Oryctolagus cuniculus: one gene and its partners. The protein of the gene in region 3 interacts with the protein of the main gene of each other region in a biochemical or structural test. Links are inferred from orthologs where the notes say so. Each region holds a gene or a part of one and is shown on either strand. Other genes may lie near its edges.

Region 1 (7,017 bases), on a different chromosome or scaffold from region 3:
CAGGCAGGAGGCTCCTGCAGGAGCCGGGGTCCTGGGCCAGCCGGGGGTGGCTGGAGGCCGGCAGATTCCAGGGATGGAGGAAGGAGAGGCAGCAGTGGTTCCGTGGCTCAGCCCTGGTGCGGGGGCAGCAGCGGGAGCGGGCGGCTTCGTCTGCAGGCAGAAGGCGCCAGGGGTCAGGGCACTGAGCCACGCTGGGTCTGCCCCCGCTCCTGCTGTGTGATGCTGGGCCACGCTGAACCTGCAAAGCGAGAACGCCAGGGCCCGGCAGGGAACAGCCGTGGCCGTGGGTACCGGCCCAGCAGCTTGGCCCTCGGGGCCCAGCCCCCAGCTCCCTGTTCCACTGCCCCCTCCCCCCAAAACTGCTCTTCCTGGGGCGCCAACCCCCCACCAAAGCCCCACTCTCTCTGGTCCAGACCGCCCAGCCGCCCCTCCCGGAGCTCCTGAGTCACCCAGAATTCTTGTGCTGCCCCTCAGTCCCCAGCAACAAGTCGGGCAGGTGGACGGTGGGTGGATGGACAGTGGGCGGATGGACAGTGGGTGGACAGTGGGGGTGGATGGTGGGTGGATGGATGGCCAACTCCACCCACCTCACCGTCCACTGCGGAGTGGCCAGACGCCACCTCTCCAGGAGGGAAGCCTGACCCAGCAGAGAACTTAACACCGGGATTCTGGTCACTGGCTGGCCACTGTGTCACCACTCCTGGACAGTGAAGACACACACCCACACCAGCCCGTGCACGGACGCCCTCAGGGGTGAGTGGACACACATGGCATGGACCCCCCCCTCCCCCGGGGCATCACACAGCCAGAGCAGGAGTGAGGCTCTGACATGCGCCACACATGCAGGACCCTGAGGACGTCACCCAGGGAGAGACGCACACACGGAAGGCCCCACGTGTGGGCTCCACTGACGGGAAACGCCCAGCACAGGGGCTGGAGGGGGAGAGGGAGTGGCTTCCTGGAGACCAGGGTTACTACTGGGTGAGAACGTTCCGGAAGCAGACAGAAGCGAGGGCTGCCTGACCATGAGGATGTGCTAACACCCACCACGGCGAATCCTCCTAACGGCCGATCTGCGCGCTGCGGGGCGTGTAGCTCATCTTTTGGTAAGGAGAGCAAACAGCCTGCTGCCTGGGCAAGCAGCAGGTGACACACACCTGGCTCAGGGCTCCCGGGTGACCACCCCGCGCAGGTGCAGCTCGCTCTCGGCAGCCACGATGGGCTGCCCGTTCTGCAGGTGGTAGCTGATGAGGTGGCTGATGCTCTCAAACAACACATCCTTCGTCCGCACCTGCAGGGCCAAACACAGCGTCCGCGTCACAGAGCGCGGCCAGCAATGTGCCTCCACGGCCCCCCGGGGAAGTCCAGCCTGCGCCTCCTCTGAGCACCCCCGGGGCTCCTGGCCAGCGAGGAGTCCACTGCCACCGCCCCGGGCCGGTCCTGCACCTGCAGCAGCTCAGCACCACACCTGAGCGCCTGGTACGAGAGATCTTGCTTGGAAAGCCCGACTACACGTGGCTGAGAAAGCCGTATTTTCGCCCAAAGACATCGGTGTCTACTGGAAGGTGCTGGTGGCCGCGGGAGGAGAGCGCATCGGACCCAGGTGACCCGCGGTGCCTTGCACATCCGGAAACTGAACCGCGGGAGCACTTTTGTGAACCACAATTCGGGAGCCCTGAGATTCCTGCCAGCTTGCAAAGCACTGGGGGATGCTACTGCGGCCGGAAGGGCGTGGCCTGGACGCCTCCGGAAACCCGCCCGCCCGCCCGCGCCCGCTTACCACGCCCTCGGGGTCCACGAGGAGCAGGTGCTTGGGCTGCCCGGCCTGCATGCCCGAGAGGACGTACTGCCCGGGGTTGGTGACGCTGTCGCGCACGAGGAAGTCCCCGTCGGCTCGAAGCAGCTTCTCGGCTGCGCGGCGGCTCATGCGTCCGTGGTACCAGGGCTCCTGCCGCAGCTGCTCCTCCGTGGGGGCCACGGGGGCCCGGCGAGTGGGCGGGCTGGGCCACTGGTCCTCCAGGGGGAGGGGGGCTGCCAGGGCGCACTCGTGGAGCCTGAGCGCATCCTCAAAGGGCCCTGCGGAGGGAGGAGAGGGGTGGGCGCGGGGCCGGAGCTGGAGGGCGGGCGGCTCCCCCCAAGCTTCCAGGCGGCGTCTGGGCCCCGCGCCGCCGCGCGCACAGCCTGGCGCCCTCCCCGGCGACCACACATCTGCCTCCCCCTGGTTTCCGGCTGCCCCGCGCCCTCCCTCCCAGCGTGGGCTCTCGCGGGTCACTGCTGGTCCTACAGCACTGGCCACGGCTGGCGGCGCAACACTGCTCCCCCCACCCCGGACACCTGCCATCGCCACTGCCCACCAAGCAGAAGTCCCTCCGCGTCCTGCTTCCAGCGGGGACCACTGTGGTTTGGACACGCCCCTCAGAGCCAGCGTGCACCCAGCCTCACCGCCCAGCCCCGGGGCTCCCTCCCCTTACGCCAGCGTCCCCAGGCCTGGCAACAGTCAGAAATCTTGGGGTCGGGTGACACGGATGGGGGCTTCCAGCAGCATGGGGGACCCTAGGGGGCAGTCCTGAGGGACCCCAGCCCCCGCCACATCCAGCAGCAGTGTGGGGTTGCTGGGTCGCTGGGACTGAGTCACTTTGGGTATAGGAAGGCAGGCCCCATCCACCAGATGGACCTCCACCATCAGACTAGTCTCTTCCCGGAGGCGTGGGCCAGGCCGCCCTCATCAGACTGGGGAAACCAGAGATGGGGAGCCACGCCTCCCCAACAGACAGGGCGGGGGTCCAAGCCAGGTTTGGGCACCCCCAGTCTGGGGCCCATGCACCGTGAAACACCATGGGAGCGTGCCACAGCCTCTCCCACCCGACTGCAGACTCCCACAGAAGATCCCAGAGTTCCTCTGTGGGAGCCCACCAGGCCTCCCCCGTCAGACAGGGCCCCCCAGGCCCCACGTACGCATGTCGAACAGGTCCTTCTTGGGGCTGTCCTCGGCTGGGTCCTCAGGCTCTGCGCTGTCCAGCCCCTGGGTGTTGACGTACAGGTGCTCCTCATAGTCCCGCGGCCCCTGGGCGTCCGCCTGCACGTAGCCGTCCCCCGGCGGCGCTGGCGAGGGAGGGGAGTGCTGAGGTCAGCGGGGATGCGGGAGGGGCTCTGGACGGGGGGAGGCCGCCCCATCCGCTCGCAAAGGCCCAGGCACAGTGGGCTGGAAAGCCGCACAGGGGCCTGAAGTGACCGGAGAGGCCCAGGTGCCGGGGGGCCCTGCGCTCCTGTGGTCCGCCACTCCTGCCTGACTCCCCCACGTTCTCTCTGCCGTCTGCGGGCGTGGGGCCAAGGCGCAGCTGCATGGCCGGTCTCCCTGACCCCTGACTGCCGTGGGGTTGCAGGAAGAAGGGGTGCATGGGTGGGGCCTTCACCTATACAGCTCACGTGTGACCACTGCCGTGTCCCCAGCACACGTGTGACCGCTGCCGTGTCCCCAGCACACGTGTGACCTGGCTGCTGTGTCCCCAGCACACGTGTGGCCTGGCTGCCGTGTCCCCAGCTCACGTGTGACCACTGCCGTGTCCCCAGCACATGTGTGACTGCTGCCGTGTCCCCAGCACACGTGTGGCCTGGCTGCCGTGTCCCCAGCTCACGTGTGACCTGGCTGCCGTGTCCCCAGCACACGTGTCACCTGGCTGCCGTGTCCCCAGCACACGTGTCACCTGGCTGCCGTGTCCCCAGCTCACGTGTGACCACTGCCGTGTCCCCAGCACACGTGTAACCGCTGCCGTGTCCCCAGCACACGTGTGACCTGGCTGCCGTGTCCCCAGCACACGTGTGACCTGGCTGCCGTGTCCCCAGCTCACGTGGGACCACTGCCGTGTCCCCAGCACACATGTGACCGCTGCCGTGTCCCCAGCACACGTGTTACCTGGCTGCCGTGTCCCCAACACACGTGTTACCTGGCTGCCGTGTCCCCAGCTCACGTGTGACCGCTGCCGTGTCCCCAGCACACGTGTCACCTGGCTGCCGTGTCCCCAGCTCACGTGTGACCGCTGCCGTGTCCCCAGCTCACGTGTGACCGCTGCCGTGTCCCCAGCACACGTGTGGCCTGGCTTCCGTCCATGCATGTTCTGGGAGCTCCCCGACCAGGGAGGGGGGCGGGAGCAGTGAGCGACTTCCTGTGAGGCCTCCACCCTCCTGGGTGCCTGGAGCCATTTGACACAGGGACCCCAAGGGACCTGGGGGCTCAGATAGGAGCAGGGCGCCAAGCTGGGCTGAGGGGCCCCTGGCGGCCTTGGGGGTGTGCGGGTTCACCCAGTCCTACCTGCGCCGCAGGGCCAAAGGTCCCACTGCAGGCCACGGGCCTCCCTCCGGGCAAGAGAGGACGTTCCCTGAGAGAGAAGCATGGGGCCCCTCACCACCCACACACCCTGCCCAGCACCCAGCCTCCCTCCTCCCAGGGACACTGGGGGTCTCCGCCCTAGACCCTCCCTGGGCACCCAGAGCCCACCGGGGTCTGCATGGTGCCCACCACCCACCCTTCACCAGCCTTCTCCCCATGCAAGGGCAGCCCAGCCCTCCTGCCAAGCCCACCCTGGCCCCTCTGTCCACCATGCTGGTCACTCTGTCTGCCACCTGGCCCTCTGTTGTGCTGGCCCCACTGTCCACCACCCTGGCCCCTCTGCCCACCACCCTGGCCCCACTGCCCACCACCCTGGCCCCTCTGCCCACCACCCTGGCCCTCTGCTGTGCTGGCCCCTCTTCCCACCATCCTGGCCCCTCTGTCCACCACCCTGGCCCCGCTGCCCACCACGCTGGCCCCGCTGCCCACCACCCTGGCCCCACTGTCCACCACCCTGGCCCCACTGCCCACCACCCTGGCCCCTCTGCCCACCACCCTGGCCCTCTGCTGTGCTGGCCCCTCTTCCCACCATCCTGGCCCCTCTGTCCACCACCCTGGCCCCGCTGCCCACCACGCTGGCCCCGCTGCCCACCACCCTGGCCCCACTGTCCACCACCCTGGCCCCACTGTCCACCACCCTGGCCCCTCTGCCCACCACCCTGGCCCCTCTGTCCACCACCCTGGCCCCTCTGTCCACCACCCTGGCCCCGCTGCCCACCACCCTGGCCCCTCTGCCCACCACCCTGGCCCCGCTGCCCACCACCCTGGCCCTTCTGCCCACCACCCTGGCCCCGCTGCCCACCACCCTGGCCCCTCTGCCCACCACCCTGGCCCCGCTGCCCACCAGCCTGGCCCTTCTGTCCACCACCCTGGCCCCTCTGCCCACCACCCTGGCCCTCTGCCCACCACCCTGGCCCTGCTGTCCACCACCCTGGCCCCTCTGCCCACCACCCTGGCCCCTCTACCCACCACCCTGGCCCCGCTGCCCACCACCCTGGCCCTTCTGTCCACCACCCTGGCCCCGCTGCCCACCACCCTGGCCCCTCTGCCCACCACCCTGGCCCCGCTGTCCACCACCCTGGCCCCTCTGCCCACCACCCTGGCCCCGCTGTCCACCACCCTGGCCCCGCTGCCCACCACCCTGGCCCCTCTGCCCACCACCCTGGCCCCGCTGTCCACCACCCTGGCCCCTCTGCCCACCACCCTGGCCCCGCTGCCCACCACCCTGGCCCCTCTGCCCACCACCCTGGCCCCGCTGTCCACCACCCTGGCCCCTCTGCCCACCACCCTGGCCCCGCTGTCCACCACCCTGGCCCCTCTGCCCACCACCCTGGCCCCGCTGCCCACCACCCTGGCCCCTCTGCCCACCACCCTGGCCCCGCTGCCCACCACCCTGGCCCCTCTGCCCACCACCCTGGCCCCGCTGCCCACCACCCTGGCCCTTCTGTCCACCACCCTGGCCCCTCTGCCCACCACCCTGGCCCTCTGCCCACCACCCTGGCCCCGCTGTCCACCACCCTGGCCCCTCTGCCCACCACCCTGGCCCCTCTACCCACCACCCTGGCCCCGCTGCCCACCACCCTGGCCCTTCTGTCCACCACCCTGGCCCCGCTGTCCACCACCCTGGCCCCTCTGCCCACCACCCTGGCCCCTCTGCCCACCACCCTGGCCCCGCTGTCCACCACCCTGGCCCCTCTGCCCACCACCCTGGCCCCGCTGTCCACCACCCTGGCCCCTCTGCCCACCACCCTGGCCCCTCTGCCCACCACCCTGGCCCCTCTGCCACCACCCTGGCCCCGCTGCCCACCACCCTGGCCCCTCTGCCCACCACCCTGGCCCCGCTGCCCACCACCCTGGCCCCTCTGCCCACCACCCTGGCCCCTCTGTCCACCACCCTGGCCCCTCTGCCTGCCCTGCTGGCCCCCACACTGCTCTCCCAGGCCCAGCCCAGAGGTTGCTTCTTCAGGAAAGGCCTCCCCCCACCCACCCCCCCACCAGTCCTGCTGTGGGCACAGCCAGGATGAAGTGGACACGGGAATGACAGAGCCCAGCTCAGGAAAACTGAGCAGATGGAGCGACAGGGCACCTGGGGGTCGGGTCAGGGGTTCAGGACACAAAGGCTGACCTGGCCGAGGGTCCCGAGGGCGCAGGGCTGGGCGAGGGCCAGCCTGGAGTCCACCAGCCCCCCCAGGGGCGGCTCCTTGCCTGGGATACTGTTGTAGTAGCTGTGCTCCGGGGGCTCCTCCTCCTCTCCCCAGGCCGACTCCTCCTGCCCGGTCAGCCTGGACAGAGGACACTGAGCTCCCAGCACAGCCCCCACGCAAACACACAGGGTGGGGGACCACGTGCCCCGGGGCCCCCTCCAGAGCCAGAGCCCAGGCACCCACACACTTAGGGCGCCCTTGGTCTTGCAATGCAGCCCGCAGCCCTGTCCGGCGGCCATCCTCCCAGCAGACACGGCCAGCCTGCAGCCAGGAGACGGGAGCCCCGCCGGTGGCTTACCTGTCCGGGGGCGCGCCCACCTGCGGGGGGCTGTGCAGGTACTGTTTGAAACGCAGCTCAAAGGCCTGGCCCACGGTGCTGATGACGCGCTGTGCGAGCCCCTCACAGCACTCCAGGATGTGGCAGGC
Region 2 (7,343 bases), on a different chromosome or scaffold from region 3:
CCCCTTCTCACACCTGCCCTGCTGGTCCTGTCTGCAGGAGTTAGCGGAACAATGCAGACAGAGCTCCATCCTGGTCTCCCCCATGGGTGCAGGGGCCCAAGCCCTGGGCCATCATCTGCTGCCTTCCTGGGGCACTCGCAGGGAGCTGGGTCAGAAAGGAAGCAGCTGGGACTCGAACCAGTGCTCTGCGATGTCGCCAAGGGTGGCTTTACCTGCTCCTCCCCTCGTGACATACGACATATTCACATTTTGCATTGTGCACACTAATTCACCAAGGCCGTGAACTCGTTTTTATCTTGCTCCCTGTTGTACCCTCCAGTCCCTGGAGCCATGTCTGTGGAATTGTAGATGCTCAAGAAACACGAGAGAGTAGAAGAATGAACCTCCGTGCCTCAGTTTCCTTATCTGTGAGCTGTGTATGATAAAGCTCTCAGAGTTGCCATCCACCGTACAAAGAGCCCAGCACGGGGAATGCGGGGACATCACATCTCCTCCAGTCACCAGCCCAGCTGTGTTACCCCGGCAAGCGACTGAACCTCTCTGTGCCTCCCTTCCTGCCTCTGTACCTGGAAATACCGATTGTAACGGGCTCCGCGGGGTCTTGTGGGGATTCAATGAAACACACGAGTGCCCCAGAGAGGGCCGCTGTCAGCGTGCTCCCTCGGCTACTTCCCCCCACAGGTCCCTCTCTGGTGCCTGGCCAGACAGGAAGTGTGGACGGCGACACCTCCGAGTCCCCGCCTTTCTCCTGGGCTCCCGGGTCTGCAGGCTCCCCCCAGACCACAGCTCCGAGGAGTCCCCCAGAGGGCCGGGGCCGCGCACTCCAGGACACAGCTTTGGAAGGTAGGAGCACTCGGCATCACACATGGTGAAGACAGACAGGGCATCGGCCTGGGCTGAGGGCTGAGTGGGCTCTTCCTTCCCGCAGGTCCCTGGCGATGGGGCGTGGCGCTGGCCTCCTCTCTGCTCCTGGCCTGTGCTGGCCTCCTCGTGGGTCTCCTCTGGTGCTGCTGCTCCTTTGGCCGGCTGGCCTGGTGGCCTGCTGCTCCAGCCTGCACTGTCTGCCGCGTGTGTCCTGGCCAAGTCGCCCCCGGAGGGCTGCAGCTGAGTGGGCCAGTCTCCCCAGGTCGGGGAGACCACCCCTAGAGGGGCTGCGGGCGTCAGAGAGGGCTCTGGGGTCAGATGGACCTCGGGTTCCAACCCCTCAGCTGGCTGACCTTGGGTCAGCCACTTAAACCCCTCAGGGAATGGGACATTCCCGCCCTGCAGGGTGGTGGTGAGGGCTGGGGGGGTGGGGGCGGTGACCAGGCCCGAGCTCTGCTGGTGGCTGCGCTCTGCAGTGGGGGCTGCCTCGCTTCACTCCTGGACCTCGGCTGCTCTCTCTGCCCCACTGCAGGGGCCCTGGAGCCAAACCCCAGTAAAGCACACAGGCAAGCCCTGGCGGGGATAGCACCGTTTATTAAGAAAAATCAGGACAAAGACCACAGAGGGTCCGTTCTCGGACATGGAGGCCGGGCGTCCCAACCCCCCAGCCTCGGACAGGCTCCCGTCGATGGGACAGGCTGGCGATCCCCTTCCTAAGGCACCAACTCCTCCGACCGCCAGCAGCCCCCCAGTCCCCTGGGCCTTCACTTCCAGACGAGTGGGGGGATGGGGCCTGGCGTGGGTGGAGAGCCTCTCAGTGCTCAGCTCTGCCTGGAACAGCTCCGGCGGGGGCGGGGGGGGGGGGTGTTCCCTTGTAGCCCCTGTGGTCAGGGACCCTGGGCTGTGCGTGGGAGGTGGGGAGTGCAGGCCAGGGGGCTTGGTGGGAGTGGGGAGGCTTCCCGGCACAGGTGGCCTGGCCGGCTGGGGGCGGGGAGATGGAGGGAGGCTGAGACGTGGGCTGGGGGGAGGGGGAGCTGCCTTCTGCGCCACAGCAGACGCTAGAGAGCTTCCCAGCCCAGAGGGGGTGGCCAGGGCTCCCGTGATGCCCTCCTGTTCCAGGTAGACGGCGAGCACCAGGATGGAAGCCGAGGTGGGCTCTCCCAGGAATGAGGGCTGGCAAGGGCTGCTGAGGTGGGCATCCTGGCTCTGCCCGGAGGGGCCCCTCAGGGCGGCCGCGTGGGAGCAGCTCAGGGCCTGCCCAGCCACCGTGCCTGACTCCACGTCCTGGTGGCCTCCTGGGGCGTCTACTCCATCCGACCTGCCCCGCCTACCAGCCTTGTGGCTTTGCCCAGGTGTGCGTGGGGGTGTCATCCCCCCTCCAGTCCAGCCCAGGGCGGTAGCAGCAAAGCGTGGCATCGCCTCGGTTTCTTACAAAAAATCATCATAATAATATTAATAATAATATACTCGACATGGTCGGGCTGGGCGCTGCCCGGGAGTCCGTTGGGGGCAGGCAGGTGCCTACGAGGGGCAGGGGCGCGTGTTGGCCCCAGCCTGGGCGCGGTGCTGCAGGTCCAGGGGCTGTGGGGGTGGGCCGCCGGGCCGGGCCGAGTGCAGCACCAGGTTCTTGATGCAGCCCGTGATGCCCGAGGAGAACCTGCCTCCAGTGAGAGCGGCCACGTCGGGGGCTCCGCCTGCGGGAGGCGAAGCGAGGGAGTGAGTTGGCTCCAGAAGCCAGGAGGGGAGGCAGGGCAGGTGCACTGCTCTCGACATGAGTGCCATTCCCTCCCCTCACACTGAGGGTGGCTCCAGGCCTGCAGTGGACCCGAGCCTGGTGCTTACCCACGTAGACGCTGCCTTTGGTGTTGACTGCCACGTTCCGGCCTGGGGACTGGCCGCTGACCAGCTCCTCACCGTCCACCTGGATGGAGCCTCGGCGGCCCTCTCTGTAGTGGAACTGGGTCAGGCCCCTGCCACAGACCGCCCCCCCTCTTCCCAGGCCCACCCAAGGAATCGCAGCTGCCCCCAGCCCCCTGAGCTCCTTGGCGCCCGCCGGGTGAGAGACTGGGCCCCGACAACCCCGTTTCCTGGTCTCTCTGCCCAGCTTCAGGTTCTATCTCTGCAGAGCTCAAATGCCCGCCTCCCTGCCCTCCACGGAACTTGGGGTCCCACCCCAGAACTTGGGGCCCCTTGCCCGAGTGCCCAGTCGGGCTCCCTCACCGCAGCGCCGTCACCCGATGCCACTCGCCGTCATTGATGGGGTCCTCAGAGACAAGGCGGGCCTCCCCACTGCCCAGCTGGTAGCTGCGGTCACGGGCCCCAGAGAGTATGAGCCAGACAGGAACGGAGGAGGGGGTGGGGGTGGCGGGGGTGGGGGCGCTGCAAGCTGCTCAGGGGCGGGACCCACCTGAAGACAAGGTGCCCATCCTGAAGCCCAAGGCCGATGAAGTCCTTGCCTCGGCTGGCCTCTCCCATCTCCTGCCGGGGAAGCACAGGGTCTCTTGGGGCCCCCTGCCCTGGAGAGCAGAGGCCCTGGAAAACAGTAGCCTCCCCCTTCCTCTCTCCCCGTGGCCCCGGCCAGCAGGAGGCCGGCTGCCTGCCCCAGAAACTGGGCCACGTGCCCACACTCACCACTCCCTGCCAGAGCAGGAGGCCGCTGGCTGTGCTGGTCCGAACCTCCAGCTCGATGGTCTCGGGCACCTCCGGCAGGCTGCGGGCAGGGGAGGAGGGCGTGAGGGGCAGAGCCCTGGAATCCCAGGCTCCCTCCAGGCCCCCGGTCCTGCCAGGGCCCGCCTCACCTTCTGGAGAAGACATGTCCCGGGAGGGCCAGGAAGCCGCCGTCGTGGAAGTAGGCGCTGTACTGGCCCGGGGCGTCTGCGGAAGCAGGGGGGCGGGGCGGTGGTGAGCAGCAGGTGTGAGTGCCCCGACCCCACCTCGGCTGTGACCTGGGCACTCCTGGGCTCTGAACCTGCAGTCCCCGAGCAGCCCCGGGGGCCGTCGACTGGGCAGAGAACCATCCCGTCTGCTTTTATTCACTTCGTACTGAAGTTTGGCCGTTACGGACGTAGGTGACAAAGCAGGGACCCGGCCACTAACACTGGCTTAGCCCGCGGCTCGAGTGTAGAAATTTCCAGTACTGCGGGCGCTGCCCACTGCTTTGACGCCGTGGTTGCTATTAGGACCTCCGCTAGGCCTCCCTATTTATTGTGCTAATAAAGAAGTGCAGAGATGACAAATCTAAAAGTATTTCCATACATTTCGGCTCAACCGGTGTCCTTGGCTTCACATGGTCGGGCAGGCTCTTGTGGGCTGGCCCCCTTCCCCATCTGCCAGGCTCTGGCTGGCTTTGGCGCTGCAGGTCCCACATCCCCAGACAGCCCCTCGGTCCTGAGCAGGCCGGGACGGGCGGTCGCCTGGGCCATGGCGAACAGTGGTTTGGAGCCTTGGTGCTCTCCCGGTTTTACAGATGGGAGGTCAGACTCAGCTGAGCTACCTGCCCAGGGAGTGGGAAGCCTGGAGTGCCACCTGTGCCCACCAACTGGGCCCTGGTCTTTCCCGTAGGTCCTGTGTGCAGCTCCTCCACCCCCATCTGCTCACGACCCACCCTCGGGCTAGCACTGGGCAGGACGCTTGGCCACCGTCCCCCGGACAATGGCTGCTGTCATCTGCCAAGCGCCCATTGTGAGCCTGTGCAGGGAGCTTCACAGCCAGCTGCCAGCCTCATTCCCCTGAGCTGAGACCTCCAGCACCCCACAGTCAAAGGGGCCAGCGTCCCAGACCAGATGCTGTTCTGAGCATGCTCAGTATACCCAACCATTTTACTCTCAGGCAGCATTGTACCCAAAGCCTCTGGGAAGAGATTCCTTCTATTTTATACATGGGGAGACTAAGGCACAGAGAGGTCAAGGGACTCATCCAAAGGCACACAGCTATTAAGGGGCAGGCTAGGACTTGAACCCAGGCAGGCTGGCTCCAGGGTCTGGGCTCTTTAACTACTCCACACCATCTCTCCTAGTCTGTTAGTGTGGAGTAAGGAACACGTACCTAAACAGGAGCTAGCACAGAGCCTGCAAGGGACCAATGAGCATTCTTTATCATATTATGGGGGAGTCCTGGAGAATGAGGGTCCTTACTCATCTATGCTTCACTGTCCCCAGTATGGGCACGGGGAGGACAGCAAGGTCAGAGTGGCTCAAAGACCTGTCCGAGGTCACCCTGCCGGTCAGCATGGGGCAGGACTCAGCTCTGGGCAGTGCCCTTCTTCATTCTGCCCTTTCTGTGCCCTGTGAGGCCCTCACACAGCCTGTTTTGCTCAGGATTGAAGACGTGGGCTGGAGAGCGGGGCTGAGGGACAGAAGCCAGGGAGGAGACCAGCACCCCGGCTTCCCTGTGGGTCACAGCAGGCACCTACCGCTGCCCCCGCTGCCTTCCAGGTGCCAGTCGGACTCCGCGAGGCCATGTCCAGGACCTACGGGAAAGACCGGGGCCCAGTTGGTGGGCACAGCTCCGCTGCGCGCTGGGTCCAGCCCCAGGGTCCCAAGAGGGCGGTGGAAAGCAGCCAGGGCCGTGTACCTTGCTGGCAGCGTGGGCCCGAGAAGCCAGGGAGACAGAGGCAGCGGGTGCCCTGGCAGGTGCCCCCATGCAGACAAGGCTCGTGGAGCTGGCAAGGGTTCTCCTCCTGCTCACAGAGGTCACCTGGGGGCCAGGGCAGAGGTGAGGGCGTGGTGGGCATGGGCCAGAGGTGTCGCGGACCCCCAGCACCCGGGCAGCTGTCCTACCTTTGAAGCCGTCGCGACACAGGCACTGGAATTCGTACTCGCCAGCGGGCATGCAGGTGGCACCGTTCTGGCAAGGCTGGCGCTCACACGGGGAGCTGTCGTAGCACTGCCCGACGCCCTGGCTGCCGAGGAAGCTGTAGGTGAGGTCCAGCCGCTTCCCGTTCACAGACACCTGTGGGCACAGGGACATCGAGGGACTAAAGGGGTGCAGGAGGCAGGGGGACACGTGAGCCAGCCAAGAGGAAGAGGTAGAGGGTAGATGGGAGCCTTGCGACAGGTGGACCAGAGGTGCCGAGGTGACACCCCTATGTGCCAGGAACAGCCGTCCACCCGGGCGGTGGGTCCCTCAGTGCACTGCTGCAACAGAGGTGTTGGTCCCATTTTACAGAGGGGGAAACTGAGACTCTGAGGCGAACCATCTTTCCCAGGACCCCAGTGGGACACGGCCGGCGGCTCAGCCTGCACCCCTCTCCCCTAGTCATTCTCGCAGGTGGCTCCTCACCTCGCCCACGCAGCCGCGGAAGTGAGCACTGACGTTGGCGGCCGGGGACAGCGGCACGGAGGGCTCCACGCCACCCAGGTAGAGGAGGGTGTGCAGGTTGAGGCCCTGGCTCTTGCCGGGAGAGGAGCGGAGCACGGGGCGGCCGCCGTTCACCCGCAGGCTGCCGTCCTTGTTGAGGCGCTCAGCAGACACGCGGTGCCAGCGGCCCAGCGCCAGCGGCTCGGGGCTCCGCAGAACAGCCAGCCCTGGGGTGTGGGGGACAGCAGTCAGGGCTGGGGACTTGGGCAGATGGGGAACTTCCCACATCGCTGGCCACCCCAAAGGAGGAACCCAAGGCTCTGGGGACGGGCTTAAAGTCACCGTGGCAAGGGACAGTAGCAACAGGGGACCACAGGGGCCTGACCCCCGAGTCTCCTCCTCCCCGCCTCCGTGGGGCATGGAAGGCCAAGGGGGCCACAGAGCTTGGGACCCTGAGGCCCATCTGCCTCTGGCGCCCGGTACGTACCTGACCCCAGTTCATAGCGGAACTCCAGGTGGCCACCAGCCATCGCCAGGGACACGAAATCCTCCACAGGCCCGCTCTTCCCCCCGCTGAACAGCAAGATCCCATCGGGCGCCAGCGGCTTGAACTCAACGTCCAGGCGTAGCTCGTGGTGTGTGTTGGTGAGGGCGGGCAGTGCCAGGTAGGAGCCGGCGCCCGACATGGAGGGGGTGGTCACTGTCACACCTGTGGCAGCCACAGCTCAGCCAGGGCGCAGCAGTGGGGATGCCGGAGTGTGGGGCGGGTCCTGCTGCTCAGCCCCGCTCCGGGACCCCCGCCGACCACAGGGGCTCAGGACCAGCTGCAAGGCAGCCGGAGCAGCCTGGGAGCCTCTGTGCCCGGCACTGCACACCAGGCTGGGAGGGACTCTCATAAGAGAGGGACCCTCACGGGAGGGATTCAGGCTGGGCGGACCTGCGGCCAGGTAGTTTTGTACTGGTTCTGGCTCTGGGCTGAGTTTATACCTGTAGGGCCCATCTTAGTCTCAGGGTGCCCTGCTCAGCTTCCCCAACCATCACTGAGCCCCCAGGGCATCCCGGGCCCACTTCCACTCACCTTCCTCACACCTCGGCCCCGAGCGGCCCAGGTGGCAGCGGCAGGTGTAGCCCCGACCATCGGGCCGGTTCACACAGGTGGCGTCTGGCCCACAGGCCTCTGG
Region 3 (7,212 bases):
TGAGAAAGCCACGCATTTGTCTTCACTGCAGGGCAAGGCAGAGACAGGAGCTCAGGACTGGAGGTGAGCACGACACAGGAGAGAGAGAGGAGCAGGCCGGGCCTCACCTCCCAGCCACGCTGCCCCAGGGCCACAAACATTTCTGCACTCACTGCGAGGGTCCAGTTGGGTCCAAGTTCCTGGCAGGGAGGCCAATGCCAGGAGCCACTGGGGAGACAATCTTTTCTCAATGACAAAGCGCTGTGTTTTAAAATATCCAGAGTGGCTTAGACTCTGCTTCCCTTCATTGGTGGGGAGAGGTTGTGACAGCAGGGGCCGGGGAGGGCCCATCTTCAGGGCCAGCCTGAGCCCTGGTTGGCTAAGGTCTGGCAGGAGACCCAGATCCCCCAACCCCAGCCAACTGGCCCAGCTGTTCAGTGCTGTCCTTGGGAAGCAGCCACCACACAGCCACCCGCTTCTCCGTCATAAAACTGGGCAGGTCTCAGTGGGACGACAGGTTTGACAGACGCTACGGGAGGCAGTTCCACAACCACGGGAAAAGGGGGCGCAAGTGCAGGTGGCGATGCCCTGACCCTCACGTGTGCAAATAAATCCCAAGTGGACTCAAGTGCAACCAGAGAGGCAAACCTAGAATGTGGGGTTGTTTTAGGATTGGGAAGACCTTCCTCGATCACATGAAGAACCGAAGAGCCACCGAAAGAGGCATATGTGACACATTGCAAAATCCCGTGTAACAAGTCACAACAAAAGTAGGGAGATTCATCAGTGCCAGTGATTGTTCTGAGACATGAGGTCCATGGGCAGGACACGGAAACACGGATCTCGGTCTGTGTTACAAATACGATCGTGTGTGTGTGTGTGTGTGTGTGTGCACGCGCGTGAATTCTCTGTGCAATGAACAATTACAACTCAAGCCAGGAGTACTTGTTCTCAAAATAGCTGTGATAGTACCATACCATTTGTTTTTTTTTTTTTACTATGAATATCTTTATTGCTTACAAAGTAGATGAACATTTATGAAAATATCCTTTATGAGATGAAGAGAGGCACCAGTAAAAATGCAAAACAGTCATACTATGTCTAACTCCCCCTCCTCCCTTTGAAAAACCAAAGAAATGGCAGGTACAGGAGAGAATCCTTTAAGGTTTCAATGCTTTTTTTAATAAAATGACAACAATTGCTGAAATACGATGGCCATTGTTATGCTACATAATACTGATACGAAGGGTGAATAGTACAAAGTTCATTATATATATTATACGGTTTTAATATATTACATTTGTTTCTACATAAACAGACTATAAATATGTGTGCCATAGCATGTCTTATAGCCATTGTTCCCAGCATCTCACACTATGGTACCAACCAATGGAAAAATAGTTTCTTCTTTTTTTTTTTAAAGAAAAGAACAGAACAAGGACAAAAATCAGAAGAAACAGCTTCATATGTTAAAAGTCTAAATAATACAATAGATGTTATTATAACTTTGGCTATAAAGTAATTTTGAAAAAAACAAAAAGCTAACAGTCAAGAGAGTGAACAAATCGAGTTGGGCTTACTGGAGTGTGGAGGGCCCCCAAAGAACCAATGTGGGGGCGAGGGCGTGGGGCTGGGAGGGGGGAGAAGGGGCGCAAGGCTGACACCTGCTGCGGTCAGTCCCAGACACCAGCCACCAGGTCGGCCAGGTGTACACTCAGCCAGACGCTCTAGAAGCCGCCTGCAGGGTCAGACTCCTGCCCGGGACAGGGCACCTCGGGCCCAGTGTCTTTCCTTCTCGGCGCTCTGCAGAGCAGATCGGCCCGGGAGACAAGGCGCCAGACCTGCGTCATTTCCTTCCCGGGACTCGGCCAGGAGCCACGTCAGGGTGCGGAAGGACCTCTCATCAGGGGTCGGAAGCGCACCAGGGACTCTCCTTTGGCCCAGCTGCCCAGAGCACGCAAACTCCTCCAACCAGAAACCCCGGGCGGCCTTTCCTAAGAGACCAGGGGCCACCTTCGCCGGAGCCAACACGAGGCGTGGGCAGGCCCCGCAGCCTGCACAGCGCCGTGCACTTGGCCCGGGCCCTGTCCATGGTGGCCGGCCTCACCACCCCCAGCACGGGCAGCACCGCCCAGTTCTCCAGCTCTGGTGGCTCCCCAGGGCCGGCCGCTTCTTCCGGCTGGGGACGTGAGAGGCAGTCTGGAAACCGCTGGAAGGGGAGATCGGCACAGGAGGAGACACACACACATTCTTGGGTCACGAGCATGTTGGGAAGCGCCTGGAAGACTCCTCCCTGCAGTCCGAGGTCCTTTCTGGTTTCTATGGAAACAAAAGTCACATGTGGCTACTTCCCGGCGGCGGTGGCTGGCTGAGCTTCGCCTCTCCCGGGACTTCCAGGAGTGGGGTACGCGGGCACTCCCTTTAAACAGCAGAGGAGCTCAGCAGGGCGCCAGAGTCAGGCTGGAGACCTAGGGCCGGGCCGCCCGCCGGCCCTCCAGCCTCCACCCGCTTTAAAAGTTCCGCCTCCTCACTGGAGGACACCGCGGTGTCTGTGTCGTCCGAGTGGTACCCGGACTGGTAGCCGCTCGTCTGGTTGGAGCTTTCAGATGCCACAGACTCCCTGCTCTTGCTGGACATCATCCCACTGTGGAAGAAACGGAGAGCAAGTGAGTGGGCGGAGGGAAGACAGGGTGCTTGCTTGTCGCCCTAAGCCCGTTCCCAGCTCCACGTGGGCTGTCATCTCCCTGGGGACCCCGCCAGCCACCCTGTCTCTCCCAGTCGTCGTTAATCCGCGTGTCCGGTTGACTGGGACAGTATCTGTTTTCAGGTCCTGGTGTGAACCAGTGGCTGCAGCGTGGTCTCCCCGTCCAGGTGCAAGTCGCTGAAGCCTCCCTTCAAAGGAAAGGCAGTTCCGGGCTCTGCAAAGTTGCCACCCAAGGGAGCGGCTTTCTGGCCCTGCAGAGTGCCAAGTGTGTATACACGGACAGGAGCCAAGAGGCCACTTTGGTGGTCTTAAAGGAAATTAAGGGGCCAGCACTGTGGCGCAGTGGGTTAAAGCTCTGGCCTGCAGCGCCAGCATCCCATATGGGTGCCAGTTCAAGTCCTGGCTGCTCCACTTCCCGTCCAGCTCTCTGCTATGGCCCAGGAAAGCAGTAGAGGATGGCCCAAGTGCTTGGGCCCCTGCACCCACATGGGAGACCTGGAAGAAGTTCCTGGCTCCTGGCTTTGGATCGGCACAGCTCCGGCCATTGCAGCCATCTGGGGAGTGAACCATTAGATGGAAGACCTCTCTCTCTCCCTCTCTGTCTCTCTCTGCCTCTGCCTCTCTGTAACTCTGCCTTTCAAATAAATAAATAAATCTTTAAAAAAAAAACACCAAAGGGACACTGGGATGTTCTCGACGTTCACCAGTGCTCTCCACACTCTCTCTGTGAGGGTACGACCAGGCACAGGTATGGGGGTTATAAGAGTTTTGAACAACTGGAAACTGTACCCCCTTGAGATGTGAGTGCACACAGATCAGGTGTCACAAACCGCTTTTCGCTCCTCAACCCCACATTCCTTGGAAGGACGGAGCCCCAGCCAGAGCGCGGGCTCAGTGGCCTGGCACCCCGACAGACTGGACCCGTGTCAGAATCGGGCAGTGCGCACCGTGCAGACCGAAGCCTTCATGACTGACATCTCAAGCCTCTCTAAGGAGTCTTCCCCTTCATCAGTGCTGCGCCCAAATCACTCAGGCTAAAAAGTTCAAAAAGGGGCCGGTGCTGTTGGCACAGTCGGCTGTTTCAGCCTGTGGCGCCGGCATCCCATATGGGCGCTGGTTCAAGTCCTGGCTGCTCCTTTTCTGATCTATCTCTCTGCTAATGGCCTGGGAAAGCAGTGGAAGATGGCTCAAGTCCTTGGGCCCCTGCACCCGTGTGGGAGACCCAGAAGAAGCTCCTGGCTTCTGGCTTCAGATCGGCCCAGCTTCGGCCGTGGCGGCCATCTGGGGAGTGAACCAGTGGCTGACAGACCTTTCTCTCTGTCTCTCCCTCTCTCCACCTCTCAAATAAATAAATAAAATCTTTAAAACAAAAGTTCAAAAAGAGGTTTGCCAACTCTGTTAATAAATGTTTAAAAGTTACTCCAAAGACTAGACATGGAATGTTTCCTTCAATCCACTCCTTTTTTTTTTTTTTTTTTTTTTTTTTTTTTTTTTTTTTGACAGGCAGAGTGGACAGTGAGAGAGAGAGACAGAGAGAAAGGTCTTCCTTTTGCTGTTGGTTCACCCTCCAATGGCCGCTGTGGCCGGCGCACCACGCTGATCCGAAGGCAGGAGCCAGGTGTTTCTCCTGGTCTCCCATGGGGTGCAGGGCCCAAGCACTTGGGCCATCCTCCACTGCCCTCCCGGGCCACAGCAGAGAGCTGGACTGGAAGAGGGGCAACCGGGACAGAATCCGGCGCCCCAACCGGGACTAGAACCTGGGGTGCTGGTGCCGCTGCAGGTGGAGGATTAGCCTAGTGAGCCACAGTGCCGGCCCTATTATTCTTATGAACACAGATTTCCATGTATTTGTTACGTTAAAAGCAACTACAGGCATTCAAAGCAACTACAAGTTTATGTTGAGTCATATGGGAGAGATTATATTCAAAACCAAATGTAACACTTTGTCTACAATTAAGTACATAAGAATTCAGCAGTATTGAAGCATCTCAAATAAATAGGTGTGGTTTATTCACATAGCATCCGTCCTAAGTGAAGAGTCACTCATTTATGTCCATGATGATTTTAATCTATCGGTAGCTTTAGGGATCGCAACCTGTGAGATTTTTGTTATTTTGCAAGTATCACACAAACTAAGAGGCAAGGTAAATACACTCAGAAATCTCCTAGCACTCACAAATTCTCATCCAAATTAGCCAAATCCTCTCGTTTACCTCGGATTGTTTGTTCTGACTTGTCAATTTCATTGTTCCAGTCTTTGTTGGGTTGCTAATTAAGGACGTTAGCTTCTCCCACCAACAAAGACACTAACAGGCAAAACCCCCCTTAACAGTTTTCAGAATTTCCTGCTGAAATTGGTTTCCTTTGGCTGAGCCTTACCTAAAAGCCGGAACTAATTTGGTTCTGTCTTCCAAAGTTCTCAGCTCTTCTGACGCAAGCACCATGCCACTGTCCGACTGGTTGTCCTGCGTAAGAGACAAGGAGACGCTCGGCTGACTGCGCGCAGGCAGGGACCCGCGACTGACTTCACCTGATTCCCAACTCCTCTATCAGAGCACACGCTCCAGTGTCCTGCAGGGGAAGGTGAAGCTGTCGCAGCTGGAACGGCGCAAGCTAGCGGAGGGCGCAGGTGCTCCCCACAGGTAGGCCCAGGGTGGGGAAGAGAGGAGGCACGGAGCAGCTGGGAGGTCCGTTCCCAGCCCTCTCTCCCAGTGACACTCTCTGCACTTCAGTGAAACTGGGCACGAAGTTAGTCCCTCTTGAACCTTGGACCAGGGCCTTTCTTTCACGGAAAAACCAAAGTTCCATCCCCATAATGACCCCGTGGCACATACCACCAAGCACAGCCCTACGATGGGGCTCCAAGACTCTAAAGCTTAGGCTAATATTTGTGTAGCTAGTGTTTCAGCCTTCGTATTATTTCTAAGACTATTTTTAAAAGATGTACTTACATCTGGGACTACTTTGACTTCTGGTTCCTCCAGCGGAATATCTTCAAATGTTTTTACACTCACAGGCCGGCTTTTTCGCTTAGTGTTCTGCAGATACTGACTGCAAGAGAACAAATATTTATATTTTAGTGGTGGTATATTTGGCTGTAGATACCACAAGTGATACCTAAATTCATTATCTTTCAACCACAGTTGAGCAGCGACCTTCCAAACATCCTTTGGAGAAAGAAAACAAAACAAAACAAAATCTTTGCTAGCACACGTTGAAGGCTTCATTTCCTGTAAAAGTCCATTTAAAAGTATAATGTAACCGGGGAGCCTGGTTCCTTTGAATCATACTTCTGAGGTCCAGCGCTGGCCTAAGGACAACCCCAGCAGACTGCTGGCCTCCTGCATGCACGTGGCAACCCTGAGGGACTCTGGGTATCCCACTCACATCTTTGGGCCCAGAGCCTGGGCCAGTTTTTCCAGACACCACTCACAGAGCAACCTGGACAAGAGGAAGCACCTGTGGGCGTCCCTAAAGCACACTGAACGCAGCGAGGAGCTGCAGACACCTTCCTCCTTCTAGAAGTTTCCATAGAGGGCAGGAGGCGGGCTGAGGCTCAAGAGCCCCCGTTTCGCCTGTCTCAGGAAAGGCCGTATCCTGCGCATGTCAGAGTCTCCCACTGCCCACCCTGACTTGAGACCCCGTGAGTGTTTCTGAGCTGTGGCTGCGCTGGCCGTTCACTGCCCCGCTGCCCAGTGCGCACAGCTGTCGGGAAGGTGAATGAAGTGGCAGGTGTTGGGCTTGGCGTTCTCAGGAAGGTAGCACGCTCCTCTCCTTCGAATTCCAAAAGAAGCCCATTTCCATCAGGAGCTTCCCGCAGAGAACAAGTCAGGTCAGGCGCCAATCACCTCTTCCCTGGGGAGTGCTCCTGTGGGTCGAGGCCACACAATCCTACCAAAACCACACCCAGCCCAAGTCGGGGGATGGGAAGTCCCTGTCGCAGGAAGCGCCCAGAGAGACAGTAAACAGACTCTTCTCCCAACCTATTTCCTCCCATAGGCCGCCTGCTGGAATATGCCCATACACCTCAGGGCAAAGGAGAATGGAGACCTGGCCAGCGCCGTGGCTCACTAGGCTAATCCTCCACCTGTGGTGCCGACACACCGGGTTCTAGTCCCGGTCAGGGCGCCAGATTCTGTCCCAGTTGCCCCTCTTCCAGGCCAGCTCTCTGCTGTGGCCCGGGAGTGCAGTGGAGGATGGCCCAGGTGCTTGGGCCCTGCACCCCATGGGAGACCAGGAGAAGCACCTGGCTCCTGCCTTCGGATCAGCGTGGTGTGCCGGCCACAGCGGCCATTGGAGGGTGAACCAACAGCAAAAGGAAGACCTTTCTCTCTGTCTCTCTCTCTCACTGTCCACTCTGCCTGTCAAAAAATAAAAAAAAAAAAATTAAAAGAAAAAAAAGGAGAATGGAGACCAAGTCTCCCTCCTCCACCAAGGAGGCTGACTCCTCTCCCTACAAGGAAAGAGAACAAACATGGGGTTTGCCAGTGACCCACACACACAAGACTCCACACGACAAACAGGACTCG

The links.
Region 1: the proteins of KDR (region 3) and SHC2 form a complex in vitro, tested with the Homo sapiens proteins (2 studies listed by BioGRID). The link is inferred for Oryctolagus cuniculus from reciprocal best matches to the Homo sapiens genes KDR and SHC2.
Region 2: the proteins of KDR (region 3) and HSPG2 form a complex in vitro, tested with the Homo sapiens proteins (2 studies listed by IntAct). The link is inferred for Oryctolagus cuniculus from reciprocal best matches to the Homo sapiens genes KDR and HSPG2.

Annotation. Positions count from the first base shown.
Region 1 is NC_091447.1:58,291,709-58,298,725, forward strand, and holds part of SHC2 (SHC-transforming protein 2), read right to left. Parts: intron 7,017-7,017; coding exon 6,890-7,016; intron 6,670-6,889; coding exon 6,513-6,669; intron 4,377-6,512; coding exon 4,310-4,376; intron 3,103-4,309; coding exon 2,956-3,102; intron 2,077-2,955; coding exon 1,781-2,076; intron 1,292-1,780; coding exon 1,163-1,291; 3' UTR 1,158-1,162; intron 701-1,157; exon of another isoform or gene 588-700; intron 151-587; 3' UTR 1-150. UniProt on the Homo sapiens protein: Signaling adapter that couples activated growth factor receptors to signaling pathway in neurons. Involved in the signal transduction pathways of neurotrophin-activated Trk receptors in cortical neurons.
Region 2 is NC_091438.1:149,170,873-149,178,215, reverse strand, and holds the end of HSPG2 (basement membrane-specific heparan sulfate proteoglycan core protein), read right to left. Parts: intron 7,340-7,343; coding exon 7,241-7,339; intron 6,872-7,240; coding exon 6,650-6,871; intron 6,390-6,649; coding exon 6,145-6,389; intron 5,815-6,144; coding exon 5,643-5,814; intron 5,560-5,642; coding exon 5,437-5,559; intron 5,333-5,436; coding exon 5,276-5,332; intron 3,739-5,275; coding exon 3,663-3,738; intron 3,575-3,662; coding exon 3,496-3,574; intron 3,343-3,495; coding exon 3,272-3,342; intron 3,169-3,271; coding exon 3,085-3,168; intron 2,811-3,084; coding exon 2,707-2,810; intron 2,559-2,706; coding exon 2,386-2,558; 3' UTR 1,439-2,385; downstream 1-1,438. Other genes in the region: LDLRAD2 (low-density lipoprotein receptor class A domain-containing protein 2), read left to right, coding at 682-843, 929-1,146. UniProt on the Homo sapiens protein: Integral component of basement membranes. Component of the glomerular basement membrane (GBM), responsible for the fixed negative electrostatic membrane charge, and which provides a barrier which is both size- and charge-selective.
Region 3 is NC_091439.1:109,315,135-109,322,346, reverse strand, and holds the end of KDR (vascular endothelial growth factor receptor 2 precursor), read right to left. Parts: intron 5,735-7,212; coding exon 5,635-5,734; intron 5,149-5,634; coding exon 5,063-5,148; intron 2,624-5,062; coding exon 2,401-2,623; downstream 1-2,400. UniProt on the Homo sapiens protein: Tyrosine-protein kinase that acts as a cell-surface receptor for VEGFA, VEGFC and VEGFD. Plays an essential role in the regulation of angiogenesis, vascular development, vascular permeability, and embryonic hematopoiesis.